Xenopus tropicalis: one gene and its partners. The protein of the gene in region 3 purifies or fractionates together with the protein of the main gene of each other region. This does not show direct contact. Links are inferred from orthologs where the notes say so. Each region holds a gene or a part of one and is shown on either strand. Other genes may lie near its edges.

What was found. The genes of interacting proteins can lie anywhere in the genome.
Region 1: the proteins of rnf41 (region 3) and clec16a purify together in Homo sapiens (affinity purification with mass spectrometry; 3 studies listed by BioGRID and IntAct, with this or other methods). This does not show direct contact. The link is inferred for Xenopus tropicalis from reciprocal best matches to the Homo sapiens genes RNF41 and CLEC16A.
Region 2: the proteins of rnf41 (region 3) and soga1 purify together in Homo sapiens (affinity purification with mass spectrometry; 3 studies listed by BioGRID and IntAct, with this or other methods). This does not show direct contact. The link is inferred for Xenopus tropicalis from reciprocal best matches to the Homo sapiens genes RNF41 and MTCL2.

What each region holds. Positions count from the first base shown.
Region 1 is NC_030685.2:36,906,923-36,914,395, reverse strand, and holds part of clec16a (protein CLEC16A), read left to right. Parts: intron 1-1,390; coding exon 1,391-1,539; intron 1,540-4,582; coding exon 4,583-4,688; intron 4,689-6,940; coding exon 6,941-6,946; intron 6,947-7,473. UniProt on the Homo sapiens protein: Regulator of mitophagy through the upstream regulation of the RNF41/NRDP1-PRKN pathway. Mitophagy is a selective form of autophagy necessary for mitochondrial quality control.
Region 2 is NC_030686.2:43,215,468-43,222,940, forward strand, and holds part of soga1 (protein SOGA1), read right to left. Parts: intron 6,985-7,473; coding exon 6,739-6,984; intron 5,006-6,738; coding exon 4,946-5,005; intron 3,476-4,945; coding exon 3,393-3,475; intron 2,348-3,392; coding exon 946-2,347; intron 508-945; coding exon 361-507; 3' UTR 1-360. UniProt on the Homo sapiens protein: Microtubule-associated factor that enables integration of the centrosomal and Golgi-associated microtubules on the Golgi membrane, supporting directional migration. Preferentially acts on the perinuclear microtubules accumulated around the Golgi.
Region 3 is NC_030678.2:137,438,326-137,446,426, forward strand, and holds the start of rnf41 (E3 ubiquitin-protein ligase NRDP1), read left to right. Parts: upstream 1-2,160; 5' UTR 2,161-2,248; intron 2,249-2,419; exon of another isoform or gene 2,420-2,578; intron 2,579-2,663; exon of another isoform or gene 2,664-2,830; intron 2,831-2,959; exon of another isoform or gene 2,960-3,097; intron 3,098-5,448; exon of another isoform or gene 5,449-5,521; intron 5,522-8,101. UniProt on the Homo sapiens protein: Acts as E3 ubiquitin-protein ligase and regulates the degradation of target proteins. Polyubiquitinates MYD88. Negatively regulates MYD88-dependent production of pro-inflammatory cytokines.

The DNA of each region.
Region 1 (7,473 bases), on a different chromosome or scaffold from region 3:
ATTGTTCTGAACATGAAATAAATGCCAAACACTACTTGTACGAAAGTGACTTCCTGTAAATGCATTGTAGGTCCCCCAAGGATATCGTCAGATACACAGTATATGCGCAGATTTTAATGTTATCTGACCGAAATTTCCTAACCTGTTTAATTGACTAAATAACCGATCGCCATGTTGTGAAAATTATCAGGATGATAATTTGGAGCCCACACATGGTCCTAAAATAGCACAAAACTATGTTTCTTTTGATTATATTGGTGCATGTATGGCAAGCTTTAGTGGCGTGATATAAAGGTGGCAAACGTTTTGTACTGTATTAGCTTACCTATGATGGAGATAAGGCAATTATACATAGTGTCAGTTGCCTCTTCCCAATCATTTTGAGCGAACTTTGGTATTTGGAAAGACCATTATTTCCCTGCCGAATAAAAGGCTTTGGGGCCTGTTAAGAGCAGGTTTTGGTATAAGCCTGGTGAATGCATATTTTATTGAAGATATGCACTTTAAAGGTATACTGTCAGGATTTTTATGGTATACTTTTTATTTGTAAATTACACTGTTTACATAGGAAAGAATTCACCCTACCATTTATTTAAACTTTTATTCATGAAACCAACAAATGTATTTTTTTAGTTGTTATATTGTTGTGTCTTACTACTGAGTGCTATTCTGATATTTACTGGGAGCTGCTATCTTGCTACCCTCCCATTGTTCTGCTGATCAGCTGCTGGGAGGGAAAGAGAGGGGGTGATTTTACCCCCACTTGCAGCTCAGCAGTTTGACTGAAGTTTGTCAGAGCACAGGTCACATGACTGTGTCATCCTGGGAAATGAAGAATATGGCTAGCCCTGTGTGAAATTTAAAATTAAAAAAAACTGTTGCAGGATTCTGCTGGAGAAATTCTGTTAACTGATACATTTTCCCATGACAGTATTCCTTTAAGGATAAGAAATATGAAGGCATTAGTCTCATTGCACTTTCTTAAAAAACAGTAGTGCACATCTCCCTGCCCTTGTGCTGCCATTCCTTTTTAGCAAACTAACCACTCATGTACAAAGATGAACAAACTAAATTGGAGAGCGGCATTGAATCTTTCACGTGAATTTCCAGTTCACATATCGGAGTGAGGTGAAAGAATCTGTTGTAAAAATATGATTCCCCTGCATCATATTTAATAAATGATAACAGAAAATGTTTTTAGGCAGTGCACATTTGCCAAACGATTTGAAGTTTAATATTAAATATATGTTGAACATAAGCTAATTGTGAAGTGTCAGCAATTGCAGCATTATAAGCAAATTATTGTCACTTACACATTGCTTTACTTACAATTATATTTTAAAAGGTATTTCTGATCGTGATTTTTAATTTGCACTTTTTTTTCCAACAGACTATCTACTCTCTAATAACCATGTAAACTCAATCATCGTCCACAAATTTGACTTCTCTGATGAAGAGATTATGGGTTATTATATTTGCTTTCTAAAAACCCTTTCTGTGAAACTTAACAATCACACAGTCCATTTCTTTTACAATGAGGTACGTAGTTCTCTATTGTGGATTTATTATAACAATGCCAGTATTTGTGTCTTTTGTATATTTGGATAAATATAGGTGTGCACTGGCATTTTATTGCAACCAAATGTATGTATTTCTTTTTAAAATTTTGTGTAATATGTGTGTGCATTATATAGTTACATAGTTTATTTGGGTTGGAAAAAAGACAAAATCCATGTTCAGTCTCTTCAAATGAACCCCAGTGCACATGTAACACATACATAAACGGCTATCTGTACACACAAACATATAAACTATATATGATACCTATTCTGAACTAACCATTTCCGGTTGTCTTGGATATTATGCTTGTTCAAAGTAATCATCCAAGCCACTCTTAAAGGCATTAATAGAATCTGCCCTCGCAACATCACCCTGCAGGGCATATCTCTGCACTCACCATGAAGAACCACCTACACTGCTTCAAATGAAACTTAATTTCCTTAGTCTAAAGGGGTGGCCTCCCATTCTTTGATCTTTTCTAAGAGTGGAATGATTCCCTGCTATCATTCTAAAATGTCTTCTAAAGAGGAATCCTGTCCCATTGCAAGTGCTTTTTCTCCAGAGAAAACAACCCCAAACTTTACAATCTTTTCTTTAATTCCCTTTTTTATCCAAGACAGAGGCTACTAAAGTAATTCAAGTACTATGTGACACTTCCTAGAGGTACACAGCTTGTTGTCCACAAAAATCCCCAAATCCTTCTCAATTAAGGATGCTCCAAAACACTGCTATTTAATTTGTTTGCCATTTGTTATTTCTACCAAAATGCAACTAACCTTGCACTTACCAACATTGAATCCCCATTTGCTGCCAATTTCTCCATTGTAGTAAAATCGCTGTGCAAAGTGGAGGCATCCTGCATGAATAGAGACACTGCTTAAAGGAGAAGGAAAGGCATTTTGGAATTTTACTGCAAATAGATTAGCCACATCAGTGCCAACTATATTTAATTTGTAGAAAGCTTTACCATACCTGAGTGAGCAGCCCTAGAAGCTCCATCTGTTTGCTTAAGACAGCAGCTGCCATTTTAGTTTGGTCTTGGTAGCTTCCTTGCTGAAGTTGTAGCTGCTGGTAGCTCAGATCACACATTCTGATGGGAGTGGGAGTGAATTCTTATGGAAGGGGGGCACAGGAGAAGGGAGAGAAGATAGAGCTGTGCAGACTCTGGCCCCGGGAATAAAGGATTTTCCTGAGGGAAGAAGTCCGCTATCCTAAGGACATGTTTACAAAAAAGGAGACAAGAAATCATGTATTTCTTTTGCAGCCTTACTGTGCTTATGACTATATTTACATAGACCTTTCTGATAAAGCTTATTTAGTTTTTACCTTTCATTCTCCTTTAAAATGCCCACCACCAGGTTAAAAAACCAAGGACAGACCCTGCAGTTCTCCACTAACAACACTGTCTAGTTAGAATATGTTCCATTTACCTCTACTTTTTGTAATCAATCCAGGGGTCATTTGGGAAACTGGGCAGGAAGTTTTGACCCAGGCAGCCCTTCAGAAAACAGGGCTGTCCGGGTCAAAACCGGACAGGTGGCAACCCTAGGTTTTGCTCACCTCCAAGTAGAAAGCAATTAAATTAGTGTGGCAAGATCTAATATGCATAAAATTATGCTGACATGATTGTGATTTGCAGTGTTTTAAGGCATTTTTTTGTATTCAGTGTATTCAAGTGTCTTGTACTTTATTAGCAACATCAATTGGAGGAGAAATGGCACGCACTCCTTGGTCCACTAAAACTTGTCTTTATTATAAGGATCTTAAAACAAAAAAGGTCCTGACGCGTTTCTTATACAAAAGATACGTAGTCATAGGCACATACAAATGTCGTGTGTTGGAGGTGGAGGGTCCGGAGTTTATACACCCGGACCACACAATTTACGGGGTGAGCTTATCACTTAATTTATAATTAGTTTTGGTGGAGAGCCTGGAGATGATACACCTGTGCTCACATTTAAATGGTTTTAGAAAGTGTTCACTAACTTTTTTTTTCCCCCATCCTGTTACTGCATAACTGAGCCACTTACTTTTTAGGATTGATGTTTGTACTTTATTACCCCTTCAAAATCTTTCCTACCACCGATTTTAAACTAACAGGCCTATAGTTTCAGGCTGAGCACAGGATCCTTTTTTAAATAGTTGAAATTTGCCAGTCTTTCAGCACCATGCCAGACCTCAGAGAATACTGAAAAATTAAGTAAAGAGGTTTGGCTAAGCTCTTTTAAAGGAGAAGGAAAGGTAAAATCACTGGGGGTGCCCTGTGATTGTAATTGCTTACCTTACACCCTGGGTTGGTGCTTTTGTTAGGAGAAAACCACACAAGCCCGGGGTAGCTGAGAATGAGCAATCCTCTTCTCTTTCTCAACTATCTTCAGAATCCAGGGGGTGGCGCAGGTGTGCCAATTTGTTGCCGCAACTTTTTAAAAAAATTAATTTGTTGTGCCAACTAGTACATTAACCTGGGGCAGCAAAATCGAAACGATTAGTTGCTGCAGCCAAGGTTTTTACAAGTAACGGCGACTAATCACCACCTTGTGTCCTCGCCCCAACTCTCTTCAAAAATTAAACTCATATACTGCCTCTGAAGCACTGGCATAACATCTAAGTCAGTCTTGGCAATACCTAAACCACTGTACAGTAAAGCGCTTATTATTTGTGTTTGTAAGTTCCTCTTGTGTTTCTTAACACTTAGCATTAAATATGAAGTGTAATGGTATGTAGTTATTTATCTGTTCTTGTATTTTTACATGTTTTATAAATGTATTGTTGAATGTACATTGCTGCCTATCTGCATATATCTATACAACTTGACTTTTTTGTGCTGCGTTTCCCAGCATTCAAGCTAGTAACTGCACGGGACCACAGGCATATACTGCTTGGCTCTTTGGAGACAATAGGGTAAAAAAAAAAACTAAAGTGTGTTTTTGTTTTGGTATAAAAATTATTTTCCAGATTAGTAAATGCTTTTGCTTCATCTTCTGCTTAATTTAGTAATGGAAGTATATTGTTGGTTTTTCAGCACACCAATGATTTTGCTCTGTACACAGAGGCCATTAAATTTTTCAACCATCCAGAGCATATGGTCAGAATTGCAGTGCGAAACATTACTTTAAATATCTACAAAGGTAAGTATGTGTTTGCTTTTGTATTAAAGCGCTACAAAACTAGATGGGAGACATTTATAAGAAAGATTTATAAGATAAAGATTTGATTTTGCAAATACAGCAGCAAGTCTTACCCTAAATTGTTAACCAGAGCTACTATTCTCTTTAATGGTTTAACACGCTGAACTGCAATAGCATAGTTGTACAGCAGAGGTCACTGTTGTATTTTATTAGCATTTATAGCAATCACTGTAGATTTGTATGACAGGCTTGATGTGCAGTCTGTCTCTTGGTCACTCTTATATAAAAAAAAACAAGTGTACATACTCCTACAAAGGCCTTACCAGAATGTTAGCTAATATCTGCTCATGCCTTTTATTATATTATTATTATTATATTTTTCTAATGCATGACTATTACTTGAGCACAAATTGCATTTCTTACCCTTTACCTGGTGCTATAAATATGGATTAAAAATATAAAACTGGCTGTTGTCCAGTAATATCTCTTTAGCTTCAGCAATAGTTGTGGGTTGGTTAAAAACCAATGTATGCAAGTAGATTAAAGGTTAACTATACCCCCAGAATGAATACTTAACCAACAGTTCATATATGTTAAGTGATGTATTAAAGCAGTGGTCCCCAACTTTTTATTGTGCCAAGGGCCGATGGCAAGCAGGTAAATTTTTCCAAGGACCAGGGGGTGGGGGGGCGGGATGCGCGCAGTGTTCATTCATGCCTTTATACGTGAGGCGCATTCAACTACATCTTTATACGTACAGGCTTTCCTACGAGCCTCTATATGTGTGGCGCGTTGGTCTGCACCTCTAAACCCCCATGTCTTTATAGGCGCAACACTTTTATACGCGCATATTCAGCGCGGCCAGGAACAGAGGCGGCCCACTAGAAAGCAGCCCGCGGACTGGCGGTTGGGGACCCCTGTATTAAAGAATCTCCCCACACTGGAATATTGCCCTTTTACATCCTTTCCCTTGATCCACCATTTAGTGATGGGCTGTGTGTTCCCTCAGAGATCACATGACCAGAAATAATGCAGCTCTAACTGTAATAGGAAGAAGTGTGGAAGCAAAAGGCAGAACTCTGTCCATTAATTGGCTGATGGGGCCTAGCATGTATGTGTGTGCCTTGGCTTGTTTGTGTGCACTGTGAATCCTATGGGCCCAGGAGGCACCAATTTTCTGTTAAGGAGTAGCCAATAGTACATACTACTAAAAAAAGTATATTTTTATGAAAATGGTTTATTTAGATGAAGCAGGGTTTTACTATGCAATGAGATTTTTTATGCAATATATTTTTTTATAGAGAGCTATATTGTTCTCAAGTGGACAAGTAGACATGGAACATTCTTTAATTTAGATGCCATTGTGCAGTAACAATGACAGAGTACTAATTGAATACATTATGCTTTGATTGCAGTGTAGAAGCACTAAGTATTTAGAATTTGAACCTAAGCGCATCTCCAGTTTTTCCCTGTCATCCTTTGAAAAATAAAAATAGCCTTTCTGTTTACAGGTTAAAAAAAAAAAAAAAAAGCAAAGACAACAGTTACTAGAAAGCTGCATTTTCAGCATTGTGCTTTACCCCAGCTGCCATCAGCAAAAGATGTCCTTCTTAGGTGTTTAAAATCTTAGACTTGATGTTTTGCAACTAAGTGGGTTACAGAGCATATTCCATCAGTCAGTAAATGGAGAGAGCAGCCCAGAGCCAAGTACCAAGTCCAATATAGCAGCTCTCTGGCTTGTGTTACAGGAATTTATTTTGCCACTAACATCGTTAACATCAATGCGGGAGCACCATAATTGAAACGTTTGATGTTAGTAAATGCTTATCTGTGATGCAGCAACATGATTCTGTTAACAACTCAACAGTTATTTTGATTGGCTTCCTTTCAATATTTGTCTTTGTTACAAAATGCTCTTTTGTATATATGCTAAGTAAATACACAGTTAGTTTAGAAAAGTCTACTACATGTTACAGAGCAAAAGCTGCAAAATATAGAATATACACAGATCACTTTTGTTCTTTTATCCGAATCTTACTGTTGCTAGGCCTTTGTTATACAGTCGTATAAAAGAATATTCTGCTCCCTGTTTCCATTTTCCAGCTCTATGTGCTACTTACTAAGCTTTCATTTATGATTTTTACTTAATGAAGGGCATCAGTCTTCTCGGTTGCTGATCTGTTTACTCTTTTTTTTTTCTTTTCCCTCCTCCTTTGCTTTCCTCCACTGTTGATCTTCGCGTGCCATAACAGTGTCATGTAAGTGTTACAAATAATTAAATTTTTCTTTGTATTACTATTTGTCTTGCAAATATTAGAACCTGTAATTTTCATTTTGAAAAATGAGAAAAGCTGTTATTTTTAGAACCTTTTTTAGAGAAGTAATTGGGAGGGGGGGGCTTAGTATGCAGTGGTGGGGACATTTTTAGATGTAGCATTAATGTCATGATGGTACTTCCTGCAGTAAAGAAGCTACATGGACCATAATTCTGCATGTGCAATCCATCACTGGTGGAAGTACTTCAGGCACAGGAAAAATTTCAGTACAGGTATAGAACCCGTTATCCAGAATCCTCTGGACCAAGGGTATTCCGGATAAGGGGTCTTTCGTAATTTGGATCTTCATACCTTAAGTCTACTAAAAAATCAATAAAACATTGATTAAACCCAATAGGTTTATTTTGTGCATCCAGTAAGGATTAATTATATCTTGGGATCAAATACAAAGCACTGTTTTATTTTTACAGAGAAAAAGGAAATCAATTTTAAAAATCTAAATTATTGGA
Region 2 (7,473 bases), on a different chromosome or scaffold from region 3:
GTTATTAGGCAGCTTTGGGGCAATATATTAAGGGATATATTCCCTTTCAAAAAATCCCCCCCTAAATAAAACTATTTCAAGTCTTTAGCACTGATTTTGCAAGAACATTAATAAATAATTCTTGGTTGTGTATACTCTACTAGGGCCCATATAAAGGTACACATAAAAAAACACACACAGGTAAACAGTTAAGTGCTAATAAGAGGAATGCAAGTCCAAATTAAGTGTCTTTTTTTTGGAACTTGTGAGTGGGACGTTAAGCACTCATTACTGACCATAGTCCTTTCTAGTGAACGCAGGAGCAAAATGGCTTCTGGGTGGTAAACAGGAACACAGGATAGCAGGGACTGACATTTCTCTTCAATTAGAGGCAGGGCCCGCTTTGTCTTCTGGGACGGTTGGGTCTGGGTGGAGCTGGCACTTGTATTGGGCTTGGCGCGATTGAGGCCGCGATGGCCTGGAGAAGCAGGACGTGAGGGGTTGTGAGCTGCAATTACAGGCATAATCCTGCAGATATAAAGTAAAGATCAATAGGAGACCCAAAACAGATACAACGATCTCAAAATAAACAAATGTCTCTGTCAGAAGGTCCTCAACAGAAGCTAATAAGTAGGTTTTATGATGAATGCCTTGCATTTAGGCATGTTTTGCTTTCGCTGATCTGGTTATACCATATGACACATTCAATGAGAATTATGGTCAATAAATGGCAGCTAAAATAGTATTGCTACAACAGGTGCATAGTTTCATCCATGTCTAGTAAACCTTAACCTCCACTGAAATAGGTCTGTGAGTGTCTGTTAAACATTTGTTTTTTACCCAGTGCTTTACAGCCCATAGAAAGGCCAGTGTCAGTAATTTTTATAGCAACAGTTGAGGACTTATTTTAGGTTAACAAAGAAACGGCATCACAAGTGACTAAAGAAAGCTAGAAATGGCACTTACTTCATTAGTAGATGTAGCAATAACCTCAGAGTCCTTAGGACTTCCCTTCTGTTCATCACTGGTGTGCTGCCTTGGTACCTTCTTGCTCAGTAGTTTAGACACATTATAAGTGGAGTGACAAACAGAAGAACAGTGGTCATGGTTATCAGGTCGTTTGTTGCAGTCTTCTGCTTCTTTCTTCTCAGACACAGCACTGGAGCTTTGGGATGTTCGGCCACACACATTCCTAAAGAACTCCTGCACAATACCGTACTTAGGAGTATCAGATTTGCTTCTGCTTTCTCCGAGGCCCAATCTGCAGATAGATTCAGTACTTCCAGCATGATCAACCACGTTGAACAAACTAGATGATCCATCGTTGATGTTACTGAGGACAGGGCTGTCCCGAGTTGTTGTCGATCTTGCCCAAGCTGAACCGTTTTGTTTATTCTGGTGCAGATTCCACAAGCTCCGATCCTTGGACCCATCTAGTTTGGAAGATAACCTTCTCTGGAGCTTAGGGGACCCATACTTGGGAGAGCAGCAAGGCCGATCTATTCTTGAATGAACTTTGTCCAAAGATGTTGAAATGTGTTTGGTCCTAGTAGACAGCAGAGAAGAACTCCTTGGTGACCAGCTTTTTGATGTTAGGCTTGATCTAGTGGGATCGGTTTGAAGACCAACACTAACCATCTGAACAGTCTGAACACCAACACTGGACAGCCCAACAGTCTGACTTGCTGTACTCTTTGGTTTCCTTTCTAAGGAGCTAGAGCGAATCGCCTGTCGAACACAATTTGTGATTTCTTTCATATCATCGCTCATGTTACCAGAAATCTCCAAATCCCCGAGGGAAGATGGAAACCCTGGGACAGAAGAAGAGTCTTTTACTGAATCGCCATCCAACAAATCCCGCTGCTTTTTGGAGAAATTACAAAGCCAGCGGCTATACGAATTCCCAGATAACCCGTCTGATTTTTCTGATTCTTTTGGTTTGGCCATGGTAAACAGGAATCCCGTTTCTACCATGAGTTTATCCTCTTTATTTTGGACCAAAGGCACATCGAGCCTCCGAACCACTGGTGGGCTATAATAAATCCGAATGCCTGTCTTGTCTGGCGCCGTGTAGCTTCTCTGTATGTGCTTCTGCCCATCCACACGATTATCAGCCTTGGCCATCGTATAATCCCAGGATGAGATCACCAGGTTACCCTTGGGAAGATGTCCGGCCAGGGAATTGTCATTACCCTCATATGAACAATGTTTTTCTGAGTTTTTAGAACCGTTGACCAAGAGTGTAGAAGCTGGTAGACCTCTCCTCTCATTGGCATTTTCGCCATTAGCAGAGGATGTGTTGTCGTGCAGAAAGGGGGAACAATCGAGTAAACTTTCAAACTCTGACATGGAAGATACAGATTTGGTCCTAAAGCAAAATTGAACAGGAAGTGAAATGCTATATTTTTATATTCAACTTTTATATTCAGACACATTTTCTACATAAGCAACCGATTAAAGGAACAGTTCAGTGTCAAAATAAAACTGGGTAAATAGATAAAAAAAAATAATGTTGTTCTTGTTCATAGTTAACCAAAAATGTAATCTATAAAGGCTGGAATGAGTGGATATCTAAAGGTCCCCATACACGGGCCAATTGTAGCTGCCGATATTGGTCCCTTGGACCAATTTGGCAGCTTATCGGCCCGTGTAGGGGCAGAAACGAGGGGCCTGCCCGACTGATATCTGGCCTGAAATGGCCAGATATCGTTAAATTTTAAAAGATTCAGTCGGATCGGGGACCGCATTGGCTCGTTGATGCGGTACCCGAACCGACTGCTCATTGCCGCCAATATAATTTGATCGTTTGGCCCCAGGGCAAAGCGATCAAATTAGCCTACACGTTCCCGATATCGCCCACCAGTAGGTGGGAATATTGGGCGAAGATCTGCACGCTTGGCACTCTCGCCAAGCGAGCGAATCTTCACGTGTATGGGGACCTTAACATAATAGCCAGAACCCAACTTCCAACTTTCAGCTCTACAACCTCTTAGTTTGTTAGCGACTTGAGGGGGGGCCACATGGGACATAACTGTTCACTTAGTTTGCTTTTGATTCTTAGCACCCAGGTCAGATTCCAAAGCAAACGGTTATGTCCCATATATCTACCCCTCAAGTCATTGATTGGTTACTGACATTTAATAGGTTAGAGAGCTGCAAAGGAGGAAGCCAAGTCCTGGCTGGTATGTTAGCCAGCCCTTATGGATTACATTTAGTGCTAACTACATTGAAAACATTTTTTATTTTGCACAGTCTATCTATTTTCATTTTTATACTGAACAATTCCTTTAAATCATACACACCAAAGACACCACACACACCAAAGACAAACTAACTGATACTGGTACAAGGGCTCAATGGATGAAGGTTACAAAGTACAGGAATGGCTAAACAGCAGTACCAATACACCTTACCTTTTTAAGCTGGTCACACTGGCATCGGAGTCACAGTCACAGTCACAGTCAATGTCTTTGTCCTGAAGTTTATTGCTGACAGCCTAGGGTAAAACAAGCACAGGATTTATATGGGAAGGCATATCTGTTGGCATCATGCTCTTTGACATGAGAACAAAGTCACAAAACCCTACTTATAACCCCCTTACATAAAGCTGTAATAAAAAGTGTTTGCCCAGGTGCAGTAACCTATGAACAACCAATGAAATGTTTGGTTTTAAACAAGTGGCCAGTAAATATTACCTGTTGATTGGTTGCTATGGGTTATTGCATCTCGGCAAACTTAAGGGTCCTCATACACGTGAAGATTCACTCGCTTGGTGAGATCGCCAAGCGAGTGGATCTTCACCCAATATCCCCATCTACGGGGTGGGCGATATCGGGAACGTGTGGGCTAATGGGCCAAACGATCAAATTATATTGGCGGCAATGGGGCAGTCGGTTTGGGGACCGCATCAACAAACTGATGCGGTCTTCGATCCGACTAGATTTTTAAACCTGCCGGATCGAGATCTGGTCAATTTCAGGCCAGATATCGGTTGGGCAGTCCCGTCGGTAGTGCCCATACACGGGCCGATTAGCTGCCGAATCAGTCTAAGGGAGCCATATCGGCAGCTAGAATTGGCCCGTGTATGGGCACCTTTAGGTGGGCTTATTTATTACACGCTTGGCAAACTGGCACTTGGAAAGTAAAGGCAGATATGCATGCAGATTCAATAAGATGCATCTTTTTCGCTGTAGGAATGAAAGGGTTAAGAGGCATGTCTGAGAGCAGCTGTGGAACTATAGAGTTACCATAGTCTTTCAATGTAGGTGGCAGCTGTTTGGGGTCAGGCCACACACTCCCCTGACAATTAGCTAGAGCTGCCCAAAAGCAAGGTTGTTTTATTTCTCTATGCCACAAGCCATCTGGAATAGGCAGCCGAACCAGAGGGTTGGGGGGGACAAATTATGCATTTGGGTTGATTTCAATTTATCTACACAAAACAAGCATGTCCGATGGTTCAAAAGCAACAGCTTGATAAGTGAGAGGATGTTCTGTGGTGGAAGGATCTATTTTTGAAGCCCCTGCTTGATGCAAGAGAAGCCTTTTATAGCAAGGGAAAGCAGCACATGCAACAATATTTGTGCCGTTTAAAAGCGTAGGAATGCACCTACATTTGTTAGGCCTGGAAACTGCCACTTGTATTTGCTTTAAACTACAACTCCCAGGATCCCATGGTAGATGCATGCTGGGAGTTGTATTGCAATTAATATATATGGAGGCTCCCAGTTTTAAGAACCCAAATAGAATAAGCTCAGTGGGGGTACTATATAGGCAGTTTATTGGGCTTGAAAAGTAGAGAACTATTCTCAGGTGTGTGATATTTACCCTTAAAAATATAAACAATAAATGCTAAAGCATCAGCGTAGGACTAACTGTAGGATGGACTGGCCCCTAAGCAAGGGGTGGGCAAACTGAAGCCCATGTACCTGCCATAGAAAATACAGCAGGAGAATACCAACTTGCTCACCTCTTTCCAGCAGCTGCTCCTCCTCTCAGGTTCTTTTTTCACCCAGGAATCTGCTTCCTTCTGCAGTCAATATAAAACAGGTACTGTTATATGGTATACACATGGCAAAGGCACAGTTTTATAGAATAGTAATAGCCATTTCCTAATTGGTTGCTGTGGGGTAATGGATGCAAAAAAAATGCACTTATAATCTACAAGCCCCATGAATAGGATCAGGGTATGTTGGTGCTGGAGAGGATATTATTATAGGATTCTATATGTTTGTTATAACTAGTGATCCGTCCCGTTTTGATTTGGCAAAGAAATTAACGAAACTGGGAAAAATCAGCAAAATGCAGGTACTTGCACAAGTGTGCCTTTTTTTACATGCCCGCAAATTTTTTGTGGCAAAACAATTTGCCAATGGTGACATGCGTAATTTCACTGCAAAACCATGCCTGGCAAAAAAAATTCGCTCATCATTAATTAATTAGATTGTAAATGTTGATACTTTGGCCACTAGAGGGCACTATTTCATTAGTCTGTAGTAATCAAGGCTGTTTCAGTTTTATATATATATATATTATATATATGCAGAAATCCCCCAGATCAACATTTGCTCCTGAACATTTAGATGAACTATATTATATATATATACTGGAACAAGGACAGCACTCCTAGGATTCAAAGAATTGTGAGCAAAATGTAAATGCCAAAATAGAAAATAGACGTTTCAGTCTCACACAGAAACCTTCATCTGGAGTGAAAAACAAGATGACTCCAGATGAACGTTTCTGTGTGAGACCGAAACATCAAGTAATAAACATTTCTATTTTTGCATTTACACACACATATATATATTATATATATATATATATATATATATATATATATATATATATGGGCAGAATTGCAGTACTATGTATACCTCTCCCACTGATTCGTTATGATTTTTCAACTGCTGCCTGACTGCTAGGATAACAAAGCCTTAGCAATTAGATAGCAGTTGAAATTCTATACTTCAGTAACAAAAGAAAAAACTATACATTCAAATGCATTTATTTATTTATTTTTTTAAGAAAACTGCTTTCTACACAACCTGTTTAACATCTAACTTATTCGGGATAGAGCAGGATAGAAGGCTACATTATATGCCCAAGCAGTTACTCTCTCCAGCTCCACATTTCTATTTTTATACCAGCAAGATAATGAGGCCTCTCTGGCTGTTCTGTTGCCTGTAATGCTACAAGAGATAAGAATATGATTCCACTCAGCGCCACCATCCCACAAACTATTTATACTTTGTTTTGGAGTCAGAATTTTCCTTCCAGCAAGTACTGGATACACAGTCATTTGTGCTGCGGGGGGGATAAAGGATTTGCATCATTTGGATCTATTCTATAAACTCAATTCAAGCAAAATGAGGTTACGGTTAGATATGGGGGGGCAGCAAGCAGCACTAAGCAGGGATTAGCCTGCATTTGAACAAGACTGCCTTTTTGGGGAACAAATGTATTTAATTTCAACTAAATAAAAAGTTGGTAAAAACTAATTTCTCCAAAGAAGGAAACAAATAATTTCCAAAAGCTCTGTAAACTAATGGCACCTTCCATTTCTAAGAACAAGTAGGTTGAATGAAACGGTTAGCAAATCATGCGCGATTGTGACTGCGACACATATCGTATCATATGATTGAGATATCACAAGGCAGATCTGGCCACCGGAGTTGCAGTCAATTCATTTCAATTCCCAGAACCCTTCAGCACAGGCCCAAGAATTCTCCCTCATAGATTAGATGCCAGCTGAGCCCTCACCTGTTTAAGTTTCTTCTGCAGCTCCCGCATCTGCTGGTCGGCAAGTTTGCGTTCATCTTGGAACCGATTGAGGAGCTCCTCTTTTTCTTGGGCCCAGTTTTTCTCGTTGACCTGAAGCTGCTTGGTGAGGTCCATGACTGCACTGTAGGACTCGGCAAGGAGGTGCTGGTGCTCCTCCCTCTCTCGCTTCAGGGCGGATTTGAGATCTGAAGATGCGCGGTCAACACCATGCTTTCCGGAATCCAGCTAAAAAGATAGAATGGCACCTCTGGTTGCTAACGTGAACCCAGGCAAAGTCTAGAGGACTAAAGTATTCTTGAGTGTTCTGTGTTGGCAAAGGGCAAAAATAATGTTCTACTATTTTAATATGGGAACCTGGCTTGGGTTCTAGAACAACAACAACATATCTTAAGCTATCCATACAAAGACCAATAAGTTGCCAATTTGGCGCTTCCAGATGGACAGCAGCTCACTGGACCTTGGTATCTAGCAGAATTAAGTCTAAGCAACTGGACTGTTGGACCATGGGTCTGCATAAAACCACATTATGATGCAATGGCTGGCAACAGGTCTTAGGCAAAGTTAAAATAAGCAGAAAGCAAAGCACCTCTTCACAGTATCAAATTAAAATTTTTGTCTTGTCCGTCTAAGCAAGAACTCAAGGCCATTGGCATTCCAATAAAACAATATACATCTACCAGAAACAGGGAAGAACCTTATACGAATAGTTTTATT
Region 3 (8,101 bases):
TAGTACTTTGTTGCATATCCCTTGTATGCAATGGCTGCCTAAAGGCTGTGATTCATAGACATCACCAGTCGCTGAGTATCTTTTCTGGTGATGCTCTACCAAGCCTCTACTGCAGCCGCCTTCAACTCCTGTTTGTTCCGGGGGCTTGTACCTTTGTCTCTTTAAGTTTCCACTTTAGCATATGGAAGTCATGCTTAGCTGGATTTAAATCAGGTGACTGGCTTGGCCATTCAAGAATTTTCCATTTTTTAACTTTGAAAAAAATCCTGTGTTGCCTTAGCAGTATATTTGGGATCATTTTCTTGTTGCAGGATGAGTTTGGAGGCATTTACTGGAACCTGGGCTTGGGAGCAACATGTTGCTCATCACCCCCATTGATGTTGCTGCCAGTGGCCTCAATATAAATTCCGATTTTTTACGGAGACATAATTTTACTCCAAGTAGGCTGGCAGTCCACGTGAGGCTACCAAATAGCAAATCTAACTTTTTTTATGCTTGTGTGGCTCAACAACACTTTTTACTGTACATCTAAGTGTGGCTCACAAATATAAAAATGTTGGGGTTCCCTGGTCTATGGCAACTCGATTTTTATTAAGTAAAATATATACATGAGAAAGAATTCCATAGATTTCACTATTAAAAAACTTCCCAAATCACAAGAATGACGTGCCTTGGCTGGATTCAATTGTTATTTGTGGTAATATTTGTGTTATATTGCTTGCAAATTTCCTGAAATGTCCTACTTAGAGAAAACATAATAAAATACACATTTGCTTGGCTAGAATAATTTTTTCTAAGTACTTGTGAGTATATTCTATTAAAGGACATGTCAACCTCAAAAATAATTTTTTGCCTAATAAAAAAAAACAAAAACTTAATTCTAAGCATCTCTGCAATATGCATTCATTACAAATTCATTATAACGGATATTAGAAGTAGTGTTAGCCAGTCCCGGTGGCTCTGACATTTGAAACAACATAACACAAGCAGCAGACTGACAGACCTGTATTGCTGGAGGAGCCTGGTATTTGCAACATTGTTTAAAAATTAACAACCAGGAGCTCAGCAAATGTTGCTTTAATAACTTTTAAAGTACTAATCATTTTTAATAAATTCATATTGGAAAGTTGCTTAGAATGATGTGTTATTTTATTCGGCAATACATTATATTTGGGGTTGACATGTTCTTTAAGCACTGCAGCCTAATTATCATTTATATGGACAGAGTCTTGTGGCAGACACTAGCAATTTGTTAGGGCAAAACCCTTTGTACTACCAACACCCCTATTAGATCACCAGTGCCTACTCATAATTCATCTATTTGTCCAGGGAGGGAATTCCACATGGCACCATTTAAACAAATAAACACAATTTTTGCCTAATAAAAGAAAATTCAATTCTAAGAAAATTTCTGTTGTAAATTTGTTATAAATGTCATAGGTTTTAAAGTTATTTGAAAATGTAATTGCTACTGAGAGAAGGGGTCGTCTCTTCCTTTCTGTCTGACTCTTGAAACAATGTAGCAGAAGTGCTTGCGTTCATCAGGCTTCTGCTACATTGTTTCAAAAATCAGAACCTGCAGGAAAGAGAATATAAGTAGGCAGATAGCTGCTTTTAGGAGTAATTCCATGTTTCAATGACTTTTAATACCAATAGATATTTGTAATGAATGCATATTGTAAAGTTGTTTAGAATGACTATTTCTTTCATTAGGTGAAAGGACGGTATTATTAAGGCAATTTAGGCATCGGGGAACTCAGTATCCAGCGGTTCTTCCTATCAAGGGCCAAACCGCAGAACCCCAGGAGCTTTCACAGCCACTCAGTATTTGAGCCCATACCTTGCTATAGACAGAACGCTAGCTCGACCCGCACAGCATCCCCAGCCGAGAGGTACTGCAGCCTTATCCGCACACACTCCACACTAGCTTCTCGCCGCTTACAGGAAGTAGTCGAGCTGGTCTGACCTATAGGCGCCCGAACACTGACACAATGAGCCAATCAAATGGCGCACCTTCTTCTATTAACCAATAAACGATTATATGTTGCGCAAGTCAATGATTTTAGCTGTTAATAATAGGGCGCGGCCCAGGCTACGGGCGGAGCTATTCCAGGAGACTGCAAATGCCAAGAGATAGAACAAGTGAAGATTTCTCTGTGAGGGCGCGGAGTTATCATTACGTAGCTTATTCGCGTTGCTTTACTCAAACCCAATACTCAGTCATTCACAGAAGCTTCTTGGTTAATAGGTAAAATGACTTTTCTGGCTGAGTTAAGCAATGTTTGTAATATAAGTAATAACAACATAAAGACTAAGCATCATGAGCAAGTAAACTACAAATAACACTCATGTCATGCACTGCATATTGTACCCCTATTACACCACATAAATGGTAAAATCCAAAATGGCGGATCCACACCTCCTGAGAATGTGACGTAGAGAAACAATTGACTAGCAACTAGAGTCCGATTGGACGCAGGCATATTTACGTCAACATCCAAGGAATGAGTTTAAAGGTTCTCCCCTGTTCCGGAGCACCTCGGTATCTCCCGCCTCCACTCACTTTTGTCCCTTGCAGGTAATTGGTCAACAAGACTGGAGGTCCCGCCCATTTGTTTAATTTCTTTTTCTTGATTGGTTTTTATAAGCTGCCTGTTACGAAAGTGGGTGGGGCCTGCGGTAGGTTGCGTAGCAGCATCCGTAGAGCGCTGTGGACGGTGGTGGCGTCAGCTGCTGATAGGGGGAAGTAGGGAGACCTAGTGCCCGGGCGTCAGAGACCCCCGCCCCGGGACAGGCGGCGTCTGGTCTGTCGGGGCCGGGGCTCGTCACGGTAAGCGTTTGCGTAGTAGAATTCATAAATTCTTCATTAGAAGCAAGAGCTGCGAGGCCACCTAGGCAAATAAATCAACGAAGCAGGTGCTGAGGCGTCTGTGTGCAGTGTGTATGACAGTGGTGTGCAACCTGCGGCCCTCTCCTACTTATTCAGCTGCGTTTTTTGGAACTGTTCCAACTTGTAGTTCAGCATTGTCCGCAGGGCCACACTATTTGCACCTTTGAAGGCTCAGTGTGGGTCTCTGGGGAAGGCGCTGCCAGTACTGTAGGTATCTGAACTGTGTTCATTGAATGTGTTGCTCCTTTTAGATACAGCTGCCTGATTGGGCTGGGATATAGCACGTACCAATGGCCAAGTCACAACTACTGACCTGTCATTTGCCTTTACAGGAGTGTGGGCTCTGTAGGTCAGTGCTATTCTAAACACCCCAATGATGGGGGGACATTTGCTATTAGCTGGAACTAGTTTTGGGCTTGTGTCTGAATGGTAACCCCGAACATTTTCTATGATTACCCCAACAACATATATATATATATATATATATATTGTATAAAATATGTATCCCTTCTGCTTCTGACTTGTGTGGCCCTCCTGCTGTTTACAGAAGTTCAGTATATGAGAAAGAGAGGGTAGTTGTACTCATGGTTGTATTTGTATATATCCGCATCAAGCTGGACTTTCATTGGCACCCTTCACTTTTAGAGAGTTAGTTATGCTCTGGCCTTCAGTTATTGTTGTTTTACTACTTCCAGCAGCCCATATGTTGCCATTTGTATCTAAACTGCAGGGTATGGCTGCAGGTTCTGTGGAGGGTGGGAAAAATATTAGGTTTTTCCTTTAAAATAAAACTATGGTACATTATGTATCTTGGAAAACATACTGTACATATTTTGTTTTGGGTGGTAGCTTTTGGCAGTTGTTTTTTTGGTGAATAACTGTTATCTTTATTTGATTTCTGTGAAAACCTGGTGCTGTATGATGTACCCCATCACATAATGTAAAAAAAACAATAGATGAGAGTTTCTGAACCTTTTGGTCTGGTGAACCAGATTAAGTCTGGAAGTTGTTTTTACAATCCAATGATTAGTTGAAATTTATTCGTGAACCCCATTGTGACTTATTGTTGAAGACATTCCAATGTATGAAGGACATCGGGTAAGTAACCTAAATAGCATTTGTGCAGTTTTTTGGGTCCGGTTCTACAGTTTAAGAATCCCTAGAATATATACTACAATTAAGGCTTGGGCTTTACATGTAACTGTTGTAATGTCGGAATTGCATTTGGTGCAGCTGTGCAAAAGGCTTTAATCTTGCTATACCTGCCTTAGGCTGATGCCACACGTGGCGTTTTTACGCTGCGTATTTTCTAATTCTTAAAAACGCCCGATATCATCATCCATAGAAATAACTTGAAAAGACTTGAAGCAAACCACACAATGCAGAAATACGCTAGAAAACGCCTTAGCACGGATTTTTCAAGCGTTGACCGAAATACGCCAGTATTTGCACAGCAAGCTATTCCTATGTATACACAAAGGCAGCTGCCAGACCTAGCGGAAATACGTGGCGTTTTTTACTATTTCGCACTATTAGCACCATGGAAACGGGATTTGCTACGTCACCAGTACTAGGCTGAAAAACGCCATAGTCAGGGGCTGTGTGGCTTGTACGGCGTTTTGAGGCTGAGAAAAAATGCCACGTGTGGCATCAGCCTTAGATTTGGTCAGGCTGTTTGGCGCATTTTGCATGTTTGTCAGCTGAGGGGCCAGTTTCAGTAGACCTTGAAATCCTCTTGGATTGCAGGTGATCTGTCCAAACTAAAAACTTTGTGTGCTGATGTGCCTTGTCTACTTCTGTATGGTGCACCTGCAATGGAGGAAATGAAGAAGACCACATAATAAGGCAATCCCTGTGTATGGTCAGTTGTACAGTATCTCTTTTTTTGGCTCACTGTCTGTCTGAATGGATCACCCAACCCCCCCCCCCCCCCCCGGGTTATGAGCACTTTTAGGCCTTATTCGTGCTAGATGTTTTTTAATCTGTATAATTTTTGTATACATTACTTACTAATTTTAAATGATTTAAGGTTATGTGTACATTTCACTCCTATTAAAAGCTGTTTCTTTCTTTTGGTATGGGCATTCAGATACTTTTGACTATGCAGTGTGTACCTTATTTCTAAGTAGTGTTCTTTTAATCTTCTTTTCCCATAAATGAACTGTAAAGTTTATGGAGAAGTCACACAAACTATTTTTAACTTATTGCATATGTCTGGGAAACTACCCCTTGGGGCTCTGAAAAGATTTGGATGTTTTTTTATTGCTGTCTATGGATTATGAAACAGCTGACTAATGAAAGGCGGCTGTTCTCACTCATGAAAACTAGTAAGCAGGATATCCTAAAGAACCAGTAACAGCAATGAATTAGTCCCATGTCCATTTATGTATCATGTACAATTACTCTACATGTTTAAACAACTGTTGTTTGCATCAAGTGTAGTAATACAATTTAATGTATAATTTTAGTGGTAAGTTCACCGTCCTATATGTTCCATGTTGCATTGACCCATTTATTTATTACAAGCACTGGAAGTGAAGTCGTGTGCTTTATTACAGGAGTGCAGAATGGAATGAGATCTGATGTAGGTTGGTATCAAAAGGGCTGTGCCCCCAGCACAGGAAGCTTTAGGTGAGAAGTTGTGTGACAGAGTTTATGGTAAAGGCTTTACATGTAGACATTTCACATATTAAGTCCAATCATTGTAAGTCAGATTTGAAAGTAAACTTTATGGCCCGGTTGTGAAGTATTCAGGAAACCAGTTAGCAGTTGTACATACAGAACGTGACCATATAAATGAGCAATTTCTAAAGAGGTGCAAGAAGGAAAGCCTTTACTTTTATTGTAACTCAAATGTTTCTGCATTGTACCTTTGTTCTTTTTCACTTCTTGTAAGAGGACACTAGTAAGGTGAGGTTTCTTACATAAGCATTGCCTCAGAAATAACTGGTTACAACTGCAGAACACGGAATAAGTATGTGTATGCTACATAAAGATAATTATATTTTTGTTTCTTTACAAAAATGGCAACCACTTTATGCTTCTTCAGCACTCATATTTTAATTTATTTACTAAAGAGGCTGGGGCAGATTTACCAAAGCACGAATTCGAATCCCGAATGGCAAAAAAAAAAAAAGTTGCGACGGCGATGAAAAAGTTGCCGAAAATACGAAAAAGGCGCAACGGCGATGAAAAAGTTGCAAAAATACAGATTATTACGAAAAAAACGCATTGGGACCGTTTGTGGATTAGTAAATGTGCCCCGCAGTATAATTTCCCTAGAAAAAATTCAGGCAAACAATCTTGGAAACATGCAGTGCTGCCAAAATTGACCTTCAAGTTTGTTATAAAGATAAAAGCATTGATATAGCAACCATTACTGCTTTTGTCGATATGAAGTTATTTATCATCTACAGTTGCAAGAAAAAGTATGTGAACCCTTTGGAATTGTATGGATTTCTGCTCAAATTGGTCATAAAATGTTATCTGATCTTCATCTCAATAGACAATCACAGTCTGCTTAAACTAATACCACACAAAAAATTAAATGTTTCCATGCTTTTATTGAACACACCATGTAAACATTCACAGTGCAGGTGGAAAAAGTATGTGAACCCTTGGATTTAATAACTGGTTGAACCTCCTTTGCCAGCAATAACTTCAATTAAACGTTTCCTGTAGTTGCAGATCAGACGTGCACAACAGTCAGGAGTAATTCTTGACCATTCCTCTTTACAGAACTGTTTCAGTTCAGCAATATTCTTGGGATGTCTGGTGTAAATCGCATTCTTGAGGTCATGCCCCAGCATCTCAATCGGGGTTGAGGTCAGGACTCTGACTGGGCCACTCCAGAAGGCATATTTTCTTCTGTTTAAGCCATTCTGTTGTTGATTTACTTCTATGCTTTGGGTCGTTGTCCTGTTGCAACACCCATCTTCTGCTGAGCTTCAGCTGGTGGACAGATGGCCATAAGTTCTCCTGCAAAATGTCTTGATAAACTTGGGAATTCATTTTTCCTTTGATGATAGCAATCTGTCCAGGCCCTGACGCAGCAAAGCAGCCCCAAATCATGATGCCCCCACCACCATACTTCACAGTTGGGATGAGGTTTTGATGTTGCTGTGCCGTGCCTCTTTTTCTTCACACATAGTGTTGTGTGTTTCTTCCAAACAACTCAACTTTGGTTTCATCTGTCCACAGAATATTTTGCCAGTACTGCTGTGGAACATCCAGGTGCTCTTTTGCAAACTTTAAATGTGCAGCAAAGTTTTTTTTGGACAGCAGTGGATTCGACCGAATACCAATCCAAATCCTAATTAGCATATGATAATTAGGATTTGGAAGGAGATTTTTTTCCCCCCTAACATTTAACCCTTCCAAATCCTAATTAGCATATGCTAATTTGGTTCGGCCAGGACTGTGGATTCGGCTGAACCCTGCCGAATACCGAACTGAATACTGGATTTGGTGCATCCCTAGTAAATTTACATTATCATTTTAATCAGTGACTTTGACATTCTGCTCATAGAACAGCTTGCCTGTATCACAGCCAGAAGTAAGATGATGAAGGCTGGGCTCAGATGTAGAGTTTCTTATGGCATTTAAATACCGTGAGTAAGTCTTAAATCCATGACTGCATTCCTTTGTGGCTTTAGCACGATGCGATGAGCCAGTGTCATCTGAGAATCTGGGCCCTAAATTCTGAAGGCTGCGTTCCTCTTGTGTGACGCTGATGTACCAAGTCCATTTCTGGCCTATAGCCTGCCCTTAGTGTTCCTTACTGCTCAAATAACATTATGATAGCTGGAGTTGCAGCCAGCTGTGGATGTTATGAGTGTTAACTGTACGGTGGCTCAAAGCAATATTAGTGTGTTTATTGTCCACCATTAAAAAGTAATTTTCTTTTCTTTATTTCTTGACTAAGTCTTTTTTCTGTAATAATTAAACAGAACCTTGTTCTTTACCCCAAGATATAATTAATTCTTATTGGAGGCAAATCAATTTTGTTTGTTTCATTTATTTAAAGTTTCAATAATAATTTAGCAGACTTAAAGGAGAAGGAAAGGCTATGTCACTTGGGGGTGCCAAAATTTTAGGCACTCCCAAGTTACTTAAATCGCTTATCTTGTACCCCGGGCTGGTGCCCCTGTTAGGAGAAAACCGCACCAGCCTGGGGTAGCTGTAGCGAGCGGTTCCTTCTTCTGCGGCAAA